3 linked regions of the Mus musculus genome follow. The protein of the gene in region 1 purifies or fractionates together with the protein of each later gene. This does not show direct contact. Links are inferred from orthologs where the notes say so. Each region holds a gene or a part of one and is shown in the gene's direction. Other genes may lie near its edges.

Evidence for each region.
Region 2: the proteins of Dicer1 (region 1) and Prkra purify together in Homo sapiens (co-immunoprecipitation; 4 studies listed by BioGRID and IntAct, with this or other methods). This does not show direct contact. The link is inferred for Mus musculus from reciprocal best matches to the Homo sapiens genes DICER1 and PRKRA.
Region 3: the proteins of Dicer1 (region 1) and Ago3 purify together in Homo sapiens (affinity purification with mass spectrometry; 3 studies listed by BioGRID and IntAct, with this or other methods). This does not show direct contact. The link is inferred for Mus musculus from reciprocal best matches to the Homo sapiens genes DICER1 and AGO3.

Annotation. Positions count from the first base shown.
Region 1 is NC_000078.6:104,699,946-104,703,595, reverse strand, and holds part of Dicer1 (endoribonuclease Dicer), read left to right. Parts: intron 1-413; coding exon 414-1,194; intron 1,195-3,075; coding exon 3,076-3,231; intron 3,232-3,650. UniProt on the Homo sapiens protein: Double-stranded RNA (dsRNA) endoribonuclease playing a central role in short dsRNA-mediated post-transcriptional gene silencing.
Region 2 is NC_000068.7:76,630,991-76,634,640, reverse strand, and holds part of Prkra (interferon-inducible double-stranded RNA-dependent protein kinase activator A), read left to right. Parts: intron 1-933; coding exon 934-1,108; intron 1,109-3,184; coding exon of another isoform or gene 3,185-3,234; exon of another isoform or gene 3,235-3,650. UniProt on the Homo sapiens protein: Activates EIF2AK2/PKR in the absence of double-stranded RNA (dsRNA), leading to phosphorylation of EIF2S1/EFI2-alpha and inhibition of translation and induction of apoptosis.
Region 3 is NC_000070.6:126,426,779-126,430,528, reverse strand, and holds the start of Ago3 (protein argonaute-3), read left to right. Parts: upstream 1-986; 5' UTR 987-1,242; coding exon 1,243-1,261; intron 1,262-3,750.

The DNA of each region.
Region 1 (3,650 bases):
TGCAACACAGGCTTAAACAACATGCTCTGTGCTCTATGCTGACATAGGATGTATTGATCTCATCTCCAAGAGCAGAAATTGAGGCACAGAGAAAGTTTGTAAGTTGCAAGAAGCTGCTCACTTGGTTCAGGAGGTGAGCCCACTAAGCCAGTAGCCACTGCAGGACCTCCACGTTGGGTCCTCTCAGTCAGCTCTGCTTTGCCACCATAAACAGAAGTCAAAGCAGTAAGCTGTTCTGCATTAGAACCGACTGTGTGCAGAGTCCCAGGCAGGGCCAGGTAAGCTTGGAAGTGCGTTTTCTTCTTAGGATGACTTTTAGAGTTGCTTGCTTTGTTTGCTTTTAACTCAAAGTGTTGCTTTTCTGAGCTTACCCTTTGGAGGGTTGAAAGAAAGTTATAAAAATGTCTTTGCAGATACCCTAACTTAGACTTCGGGTGGAAAAAATCTATTGATAGCAAGTCTTTCATCTCAAGCTGTAACTCCTCGTTGGCTGAGAGTGATAATTACTGTAAGCACAGCACAACTGTAGTCCCTGAACATGCTGCACATCAAGGTGCTACTAGACCCTCCTTAGAAAACCATGACCAAATGTCTGTGAACTGCAAAAGGTTGCCCGCTGAGTCACCTGCTAAGCTCCAAAGTGAGGTTTCAACGGATCTTACAGCAATTAATGGTCTTTCTTACAATAAAAACCTTGCCAATGGCAGTTATGATTTAGTTAACAGAGACTTTTGCCAAGGAAATCAGCTGAATTACTTCAAGCAGGAAATACCTGTACAACCAACTACCTCATATCCCATTCAGAATTTGTACAATTATGAGAACCAGCCCAAGCCCAGCAATGAATGTCCTCTACTGAGTAATACGTACCTTGATGGGAACGCTAACACATCTACCTCAGATGGAAGCCCCGCGGTGTCCACGATGCCTGCCATGATGAATGCTGTTAAAGCACTCAAGGACAGGATGGACTCTGAGCAGAGCCCTTCTGTTGGGTACTCCTCAAGGACTCTTGGCCCCAATCCGGGACTGATTCTCCAGGCTTTGACACTGTCAAATGCCAGTGATGGGTTTAACCTGGAGCGGCTTGAGATGCTTGGCGACTCCTTTTTAAAGCATGCTATCACCACATATCTGTTTTGCACGTACCCTGATGCTCATGAAGGCCGCCTTTCATATATGAGAAGCAAAAAGGTAAGGCACGATTCTCGTTCTGGGCTGTTGCTTCTTCAGTGTGCCTGAAAACAGGCCAAGTTACCCATGGGGAATTCTCCGTGAGTCGGTGCAGCTGCTACTCATTCGAGTTCATTAGGGCCAGTGAAGCCCATGGAGGCATTGCCCAGTAGTGACGTGAGGGCACCAGTGGTACAGCCAGGCTTCGGGCTGACCTTCTCTTACTGGGAAAAGTGCAGTTTAAAATAAACCTTTGTGCAAATGAGGAACCATTTTGCAGATGAAAAAACTGATGCCCAGACAGTGGGATTAGCTTGTACCGGGTTGTTCACTAGTCCCAGGTCGTTCACTAGTCCCAGGTATTTAGGGGAGTATGTCTGAGACTAGAGGCCTCACCTGCTGGCTGCCTTCCCAGTGTTCTTAAGACAGGCCACGACAACTGTGACATCGTGGACATGGTGGGTAGTGGCGGCAGCAAGGTTAGGAGGAAGACATTGAGGAGGCTGTCAGGGCTGCTTACTAGACGAAGATCAGTCAGTGGAGACATGTGAAATAAGAATACCAGACCCTATTAAGCAGGAAAGATACTACTTTAACATCTCAAAATTTCATCCATTCGTCTGTTCAGACCCTTTTCACTTCATTTCCTGCAGAAATATTTATTGTTTCCTCTGCCTGGTATCAGGTGGGTTCAGCATCTTCTTCCAGACAGACCCTGCCTGAACTCCAGCTTGCCAGTCTTAACACAAGCTCCATGCTCTCTGGACAGCCTGTGTCTTTGCTTCAAGCTAACCTTCCCTGTGTCTTTGCTCAAGCTAGCCCTCCCTGGGATTGTCCTCATTGCCAACTGCTGCTGGAATTGTGCCTCACAACAAGTCCTTAGTTGTAGCCTTTCTGTTCCACTGAGCTTTTCTCTTGACTTAGAATATTTTCCTCCTATTGCTGTCTTCCTCTTGGGATGCTCTCACATGTCATGGAAAAGGAAACCAACATTTATGTATATTGGTTCCATGGTAGACAGCTGAGAGGTGTGTTGACTCGTGGTAGTTTCAAACACAGCCTGCTACATTGCAAGGACCGTTTCTCTGTCTCTTTGCACGCTTTCTACCAGACTGTGGCCAGTGCTGATTGTGGGTACCAGATGCTGGCTAAGTAGCATCTGAGTTACATGGAAAGGGCTCCTGAAGTATTCCAGTAAGGTTTTAGAAACAGGGAATGAGATTAATGGTGATAGCTGCTAGTCTCCAAGTGAGAACTAGACAGAAATGTCAGGTTTTAAGTAAATTAGGGTCATGGTAGAGCCATTAGGAAAGGCAAAAGGACTGGAAGGAGGATAGTAAAGCCACCTAGGTGGTGTCCTGCGCAGCAGCTGTTCTTTAGCACCTTTTACTCCAGTGCTGAATGCTATCCACCACACAAAGAGCAATATTTGAGAGTGAGAGGGTTGGTGTCACATTATTGATGCTTAGACTCAAGAGATAACAATTGTTTTGTATGGTGATGGTTCTCACCTTACAACATATTCATCCCTTTTCTCACTGAGAATATCATGACATCTTGAGTTCCATGGTCTTGACAACTGCTCCCAGCCTCACTTGTCATCTTGAATTTCATATTGTCAGTCTGTGATTTAAAACTTTGAAATTGAACTCTTTCTTTGACTTATTTATGAGGAGAGGAGTTTATATACATTAGGTTTTTGTGGATTCCATTTTGGATCAAATATTTGACGTGGAAGGCTGTCTAGTACTTGGAAATCTAGAGTTGTTATTTTAACTGTGTAGTCCTTATAACTGCTGACCATCGTGCAATACAAAAACACTGGCAAAAATGTATTGGCACACTGTATCTCCCAGCCATGGCCATGTATGGGTAAGTGTTTGTGACTCTTTTCTGCCGAAGGTCAGCAACTGTAACCTGTATCGCCTTGGCAAGAAGAAGGGACTGCCCAGCCGCATGGTGGTGTCGATATTCGATCCTCCTGTGAATTGGCTTCCTCCTGGTTATGTGGTAAACCAAGACAAAAGTAACTCAGAGAAGTGGGAAAAGGATGAAATGGTAAGCTCTCAGCATGGAGCTTTTTGTTTGTGTTGACTGAAGAATGTTGTTTTTTGTTGTTTTCTTTCTGCTGTACGTTTGCCATGTAGTAGATATTTCATGTGTTGGCAGGCCGTCTGTGACTTCAGAAATAGTGTTGGTTTTGGTGCAGTGTGATTTCTCTTACCTCCCCTCCCCATTCCAGAGGCATAAACTTCTGTTATGTTTCCACTTAGAAATAAAATCAGAGCCCTCTCAGATTCCTTCCCTCTCATGTTACAGTGTAGCCTTAGCCATTTGCTGGAGTGACTCTGCAGTGACCTGTGATCTCCAGGCTGTGTCTGGAAGAATTCAGTTCAGCACAGACTAGCTTGGGCAGTGCTAGCTTGGAACTATTTCCTCTTGCCAACCTGACGACAGCTCGCCGCCGCTGTATGGGA
Region 2 (3,650 bases), on another chromosome or scaffold:
CCAGGTACAGTGTAGACAGCTGACAGCCATGGGCGAGGATGGGAGATAGTGCATTTGTCTGTGTGTCCTTGTGTAAATAGATGGCATATCCCCATACCAAACCTCGTGCCTAAGTAAATCCCAGATCAAGGATTGAGCATGAATAGAACTGTCTTGGCAAACACAAACGGTCTTTTGAAAAGAATCTTAGGGATAGAAAGTCTTTTTTAACTGTAACTTAACATCTAAAATCTGAAGCAAATGAATTTGACTAGAACTTACGATACAGCCAAAAAAGTATGAATAAAATCAACATAACTAAAACAAGCAAAGAATTCAGCTTTCATACGTGTAAAGCCTGTATACATCAATTTTTTGAAAAGTCTAGTAGGAAAAATATGAAGGAATGGAAAAATATTCAGTGTATTCATGCCAACTAAGATATTCTGTCTGTTTTAAGTTGGTGGAAGCTACACTGTTTGGTAACTAGCTGCTGTTGGTGAGAGTGTGATAAGCAAGCACTTTGGTCGGTGGGTATGTAAATTAGTTCAGAAATCAACCTGCAAGCATTTGCTGCACTGAGGTATGTAGGAGGGGGCAAGGTGCATATGTATGGAGGTCAAAGGGTGTCACTTCTCTCCTCTTTCCATATGGGTCCCAGGGATCAGACTCAGGAATTAGATTTGGCATCAAAGAGCCCTAACCTGCTGAGCCATCTCTCTGGCTCAAGTTGTAACATTTATTAAAATAAAAGCATTTCTGTTGGCAGTGTCTCTCCTAGACATACATAATACTGGAAATAAAAAACAAAGCTGGGTCCTCCGGAAAAGCAGCCAGTGTTTTTCACCCCGACCCATCTCTCCATCCCCCGAGCATCTGTGTTCACTTACCCTGGTACTGATGTTGGAACTGGCCCATTTCGGAGCTGACGTTTCCCTCCTCTCTGCCTTTTAGACGAACGTGGTTGGACATTCCCTAGGATGCACTTGGCACTCCTTGAGGAATTCCCCTGGTGAGAAGATCAACCTCCTGAAAAGGAGCCTCCTCAGTCTCCCGAACACAGACTACATCCAGCTGCTTAGTGAGATTGCCAGCGAGCAAGGCTTTAACATAACGTATTTGGATATAGGTATGCTTTCTCGTGTGCCCTGACATGTTTCTTCTCAGGACCTCATGCATCTCATGCTGACCTTGCCTTTACCTCCCAAGGGCTGGGTGGGATTATGGGAGCAAAACACCACCATGTTCCACCTCTGTGGATGTTCATTTAATTCAGTTTATACACCTGTTTAGTGTGTGTGTGTGTGTGTGTGTGTGTGTGTGTGTGCGTGCACATGTGCATGTACATGCATGTTTAGTGTCATGATTTTAGCATCAGAACAATGTGATATCCCTATTCAAACCTTAGTGAGATGTGAAGAGCTAGCCTGGCAGAGCTGCAGGCTCTGAGAAAGTAGAGCTTCGGGGCTAGAAGACCCTGCAACAGTCTTGGCAACTTTAAGATTGATCTATGAATCTAATGCAGAGTCTGTATAAACAGCAGGTGATGCAGAATCCGAGAGCAAATGTACACAGGTGGTCAGGAAATAGCTGATGAGAGACTGTCTTAGTCAGGGTTTCTATTCCTGCACAAACATCATCACCAAGAAGCAAGTTGGGGAAGAAAGGGTTTATTCGGCTTACACTTCCATGCTGCTGTTCATCACCAAAGGAAGTCAGGACTGGAACTCAAGCAGGTCAGGGAGCAGGAGCTGAGGGCCATGGAGGGATGTTCTTTACTGGCTTGCCTCCCCTGGCTTGCTCAGCCTGCTCTCTTATAGAACCCAAGACTACCAGCCCAGAGATGGTCCCACCCACAAGGGGCCTTTCCCCCTTGATCACTAATTGAGAAAATGCCTTACAGTTGGATCTCATGGAGGCATTTCCTCAACTGAAGCTCCTTTCTCTGTGATAACTCCAGCTGTGTCAAGTTGACACAAAACTAGCCAGTACAGAGACCATCCCATAAGTGTTTATCAGTGTCTTCAGTTTGGAAAATGGGGATAACTGAGCCATCATAGACTAAGGAGAAAAACAAACAAACAAACAAACAAACAAACAAACAAACGCCAGAGTGTAGGCTAAGAAGGAAGCCTGTGAGGAGGATTTAGATATGCACTGATGTGCTGTTGACATGCTTCATACCAGCTTAAGAGCTGAAGAGTTCTGGAGCATCCAGAACTGGCTTTTGACCAGCTCCCGTGGTGCAGCTGCTGCCAGTGAAACCAGACAAATGAGCTGGGCACTTGGGAGACTGAGGCAGGAGGATCACTGTAAATTTGAGACCAACCTAGCTATAGAGTGAGTGTTACACCAGGCAGAGCTACACAAATAAAACACCTACAAAGGTGTCCAACCTCATTACTTCAAAGGGAAATGTAAGTTAAAGTGGAGGGGAAGGGCAACATCAAACTCACTAGGTTGGCTTCAGTCAGGAAAATGGAAGATAGAAAACAAGACTGTTAGATTCCAGTTTGGAACCTCATAGATTGGTGGTCAGATGTAAAATGGTTCAGTTATCAGCAACTCGTGTGACCGAGCAGTTTCACTCCTGGAAATTAAAACTAGTAGCCGTCACTCTACCATAAGAAGTGATGGTCTAATGCCTACAGCAGCATAAACAGATTTGAAGATATTGCGCCAAGTGAAAGAAGCCAGTCACAAAAGGCTACAGTATAAGTCAGTGAACTAGTCAGTAGAGGTTAATCCATGCACACAGCACAGGCTGGTGGATGCCCAGAGTGAGAGGGAAGGGACTTGGAAGGGTAATTGTCTGATGGGTGCAGCTGTCCCCTTAGGTTATGCAAATGACTTGGAAGTGGATAGAGCCGTGGATGTAGAAAATGACATGGACTTGTTCAGTTTCGAAACCAGTTGGCTTCACGTCAATTTTTCTTTTATTGAGGGACAAAGGCCTTAGATCCAGTTACTCATTCAGTAATCCTATTGTTATTAAGATATGTCCTTGAAATTGAGTGACTAAATATTATCATTTAACCATAGTCACTTTAAAAGTTATTATCGAGTGTGTGTGTATGTGTGGGTGTGCGAGCATTCGTTCGTGTGTGTGTGTGTGTGTGTGTGTGTGTGTGTGTGTGTGTGACAGCATGTGTGGGATCAGAAGGCAACTTTGTGGAGTCAGTTCTCTCCCCCCATCTTTCTGTAGGCTTCAGGGACCAAGGCCAGGTCTCCAGGCTTGTGCAGCAAGTGCCTTAGCCCCCTGAGCCAGCTCAGCAGCCCCCATCGCCAATCTAAGTCACATTCCTTCACCACCTGTGGTGAGTGACTCATCGGTAGATGAGAGCATTTGTTTCCTGGGCTTCTGTGTCATTACAGGACACCATAACCCAGAGTTCTACATGTGTGGTCTTCCCATGCATCAGGTCTATTCTGCTTAAACGCCTACTGAAAGTGACTTCCTAATGGAAAACACAGCCTTGCCTGTCTTTCAATAAGTGGTTCTTCCCCATTATGACATGTTCAGTAATGTGCAAACTCTCTCCAAGTGGTCACATTTAGAGTTCCCTTGGAGAGGTCGTAAAAATGCAACAGCCAGCTATGGCTGACCCCAGCCCTGATTTCTGATCATGTGGGCTAACATGAAGTCTGGGGTCAGCATTTCTTTCAGATTT
Region 3 (3,750 bases), on another chromosome or scaffold:
TATTAAGTACCTCAAAATTGTAACTATTGTAAATATTTTTGTTACTAACATTTGGGAGGTTTTTGTTTTTTGTTTTCCTTTCAGTTTTTCTGATGAGGAAACTAAAGTCCAAAGATAAAGTGACTAATCCAAAAACCCAAAACGGGGAGGGAAGGGATCGTGAAAATAAAATCTTTCTCAATTCTCTTTTTTAAAAAAGAAATATATGTCAAAACATTACTGGTTCATTGGGACACGGGGAAAAATACTGAATCATTGCTAAGCTTGCATGAAGTATCTGGTTTCACGAAGCCAAGTATTTTTAAAAGACGGACTATTTGCCGGATAATGAGCTGGGTCTAGTCTCCCAAAGGTTCCAAGTCAGCAGAAAAGCACCAGACTGGATCGGATCGGGGAAACTGGAGGCTGACCAATTTAGCTGTAAAAGTCTCGAGTCCCAAGGAAGAGAAGGTTTAGCAGGTGTTTAAACACCGGAAGGTCGTTTAGGTTCCTCAACGTATTGGGAGACTGTTTAAACATAAACGTAATTCCATCTGGTATACATGGAACATCCCGTTTCTTGTTCATCCGTTTAAAAACTATATTGAACTTGTGGTCACCGCCTAGTGCACGTGCTCCAAGCGGGTGTGGCAGACGGAGCTGGGAGGGAGGATGCCCTTGGCTGGTCACCCGCCACTCTCAGGTAGGATGTACCTCAGGTAAGCTCCGCGGGCAGGCAGCGATGTCGCCTCAAGCAGCGGTCCTCACCCGGGAGGCTGGCACGGGGAAAGCTGGCCTCTCGCTCGGGATTGTCGCCGTCAGGCACAGCGGGTGCAGGGCGACCGCCCATCCGCGGCTCCGCCCCAGCCAGGCACCGGCTCACCCGCCCACAGATCCCCAGACCTTGTTGCTCCCGCAAGGCTCTGGCTCCAGGCGAGCTGCCGACCCGGAGGGAGAGCGGGGCGGGATCCGGAGAGCGGAAGTGACGCGAGCGGGCTTCCGGGGGCGACCGGGAAAAGCGAGCGGCTGCGGCGGCGGGGCGGCTGGCGGGTCGGGAAGCTGCACGCGTCAGCATCTGTGGGCGACGCAAGTTCCGGACCTGGTTCCAGCGTCCTCACTCAGGACTGTCGCCGCTCTTACCTCGCTGCAGGCTGTCTGTCTCTCCCGACTGTGCCTCTTGTGCCCGGAGCTTTCCGAGGGCGTCCGCTCCTCGCCTCTGTGGTGGCACCCTTCTCTCGTGAAGCACTCCCCCCAGCTCCATGAATGGAAATCGGCTCCGCAGGTGAGGCGAGCTGCGGGACAGGGCAGGTGGGGTCGTTACCCCGATGTTGTCCCCTGAGCATCCTTGTTCCTTCCACTTCAGGTGCTGTCAGCGCACATAGTGAGGGAGTTGCGGGCTTTCAGGCCCGATGCGGGTGTCCTCTCCACAGCCCAGGGACCTACACTCTTGGGGTCATTGAGTTGGCGAAACTACAAGGAGGGCTTAAGTTTGGAGTTCTGTAGGTGATGACATCCCCCTAGAGTGCTTTCCCCTGAGAATGGAGAGAAGTTTGCCCTTGCTTTTGGAATTCTTGTTGGAAATATAAAGGGCGCGCTTGTCCTTTAACCGGGTCGTGTGTCCCATGGATGCAGAACAAGTCAGGCATAACCCTTATCTACCTATTAGTGTAGTTTGAGGATACTCTGAGATAATCAATGATTACGTTTCTAATTGGTGCTCGGGCGACGTCAGATGCAAGATGGCATTGCTCCCACCCCTGGTTCTCAGTGTCTGAGTGTGTAGTTTCTGAGGAGCTCGGAGATGTCCTGTCGCTCTGGACCACTGCTTACTAGAAGGCAGAGCTTCAGGATGCTGACACTATTTCCCCTCTATTTTCTATTCCCTGCACAGGAAATCTGGAATTTAGGATTTGTCTCTTGAGGAAAAAAAAAAAAAAAAAAAAAAGAGGTCTTGAGAAAGGAAGCCGGCCTGGATAGTGCTTGTCTTTAAAAAGGAAAAAGTAGTCAGCGATTCTAAAGTAGTTGATAGAGTAACATGAAATAGGTGTTACATAACGGCCTGCTGGCCCAGCAGTCACCCTGTTCTCCAGTTTGAAAGTTCTCTCCATCCACAAGATCAGTAATATATTGTTTTCATATATTTGGGGGATTGCCTTGTTATTATGTCCTAGCAAGTCACTGAATTTCATATCTCATCTTGCCAATTTGAAAGGTCCCCAAATATAAGAGAAAAAAAAAAACCCAAAACTAAAACTAGCAACATAGAAGGCCTTCAAATCAGTTCAGGGCATAATTGTCGAAGGGATACAAAAAGGCATTTCCTTTATTATGTGGAATTTCTTTCTACTCAGTGTCTACCATTTTTTCCCTTTCTATGTTCCATTTTTTTTCTCATATTTTCTTAACAGTGAAATATGTCTAGGCTGTGAAGTTTTGGACTCTTATTATCAATATGTGTGTTTCCAGACTGTATTTTCTATGCTTTAAAAGTTTACATTCTGTCTGTACTGCTTTTACTTTATAAGATAATCTGATTATTTCCAGCTCTCTGATTTTTACATAGCTACCCTGTTGCCAAGCCTGGAAAACTAAATATGACATTTAAGGTTGTGTTAATCATCTACCTAAAACTTTTGAAGAGCTTTCCCCCAAATTGAGTATTTTCCCTATTTGGGCTTTTTATGTGAAAATATTGACATGTGTTGATTATTTGTGATATAGGGCCAACTACTCAGTTGATACAATTAGCTAAGCCTGACTCAGTAAAATGTACCTTTTCTTTTTGGGTGTTGTTTTGATAAAATATAGAGCAGTTGATGTCTTCCCATCAGGGAAGGTATAGTTAAGATTTATTAACTAGTTTGGCAATGGTGGCTCACACCTCGGTCCCAACATTCAGGAGGCAGAGATGGTTCAATCTTTGTGAGTTGGAGGCCCGCCTGATTTACATAAAGAGTTCTAGGCCAGCTGGGGCTACTTAGTGAGACCTTGTCTAAACAAACAACAAAACAACCAAATTGTTGTTCATTGAATAAAAACAAACAAAACAGTTCTACCAGCCATGCTTGGCCATCTTGAAACATAGAATTTGTTCTTCAGTGAAGTTTATGTGTGACTGGCTGTTGTTTACTATCAGGCTCAAGGTTGTTACCATCAAAATGATTCTTTTGGTTGGGTGCAGCGACCCATGGCTTTAACCTCAACACCTGGGTTTCTGTGATTTAGAGGCCAGTCTAGTCTACATAGTGAGTTCTAGGCCAGCCAAAGCTACATAGTGAGACCCTTCGGAAGGAAGGAAGGAAAGAAAGAAGGAAGGAAGGAGAAACAGAGAGAAAAAGGGAGAGAGAGTTTTTTGTGTTGTTCTTGCGATTTTTATGTAATTGTTACAGTGAATGTGAAATTGAAACATACTTAGGAAAATAGACAACTAGGTTTTAAATTCAGATTTGACATTTTTTAGCTATGTGGGCTGGAGAGATGGCTCAGCAAGTAAGAGCACTTGCTGTTTCAGCAGAGGACCCGGGTTTGGTTCCTAGCACCATGTGGTAGCTCAAAACTATAACTTCAGTCCCAGGGGATCTGATGCCCTCTCCTGACCTCCAAGGGCATCAGGCATGCATATGGTGCACATACATATGTGCTGGTAAAACATTCATACACATAAAGCAATATAATAAATTTTAAATTTGAAAAAAATAGATATAGGTGCTTTCTAACAGTCTATTAGGTTAGTACTGAAATTTTGGTTCTCAAATTCTGTTTTCCTTTTAG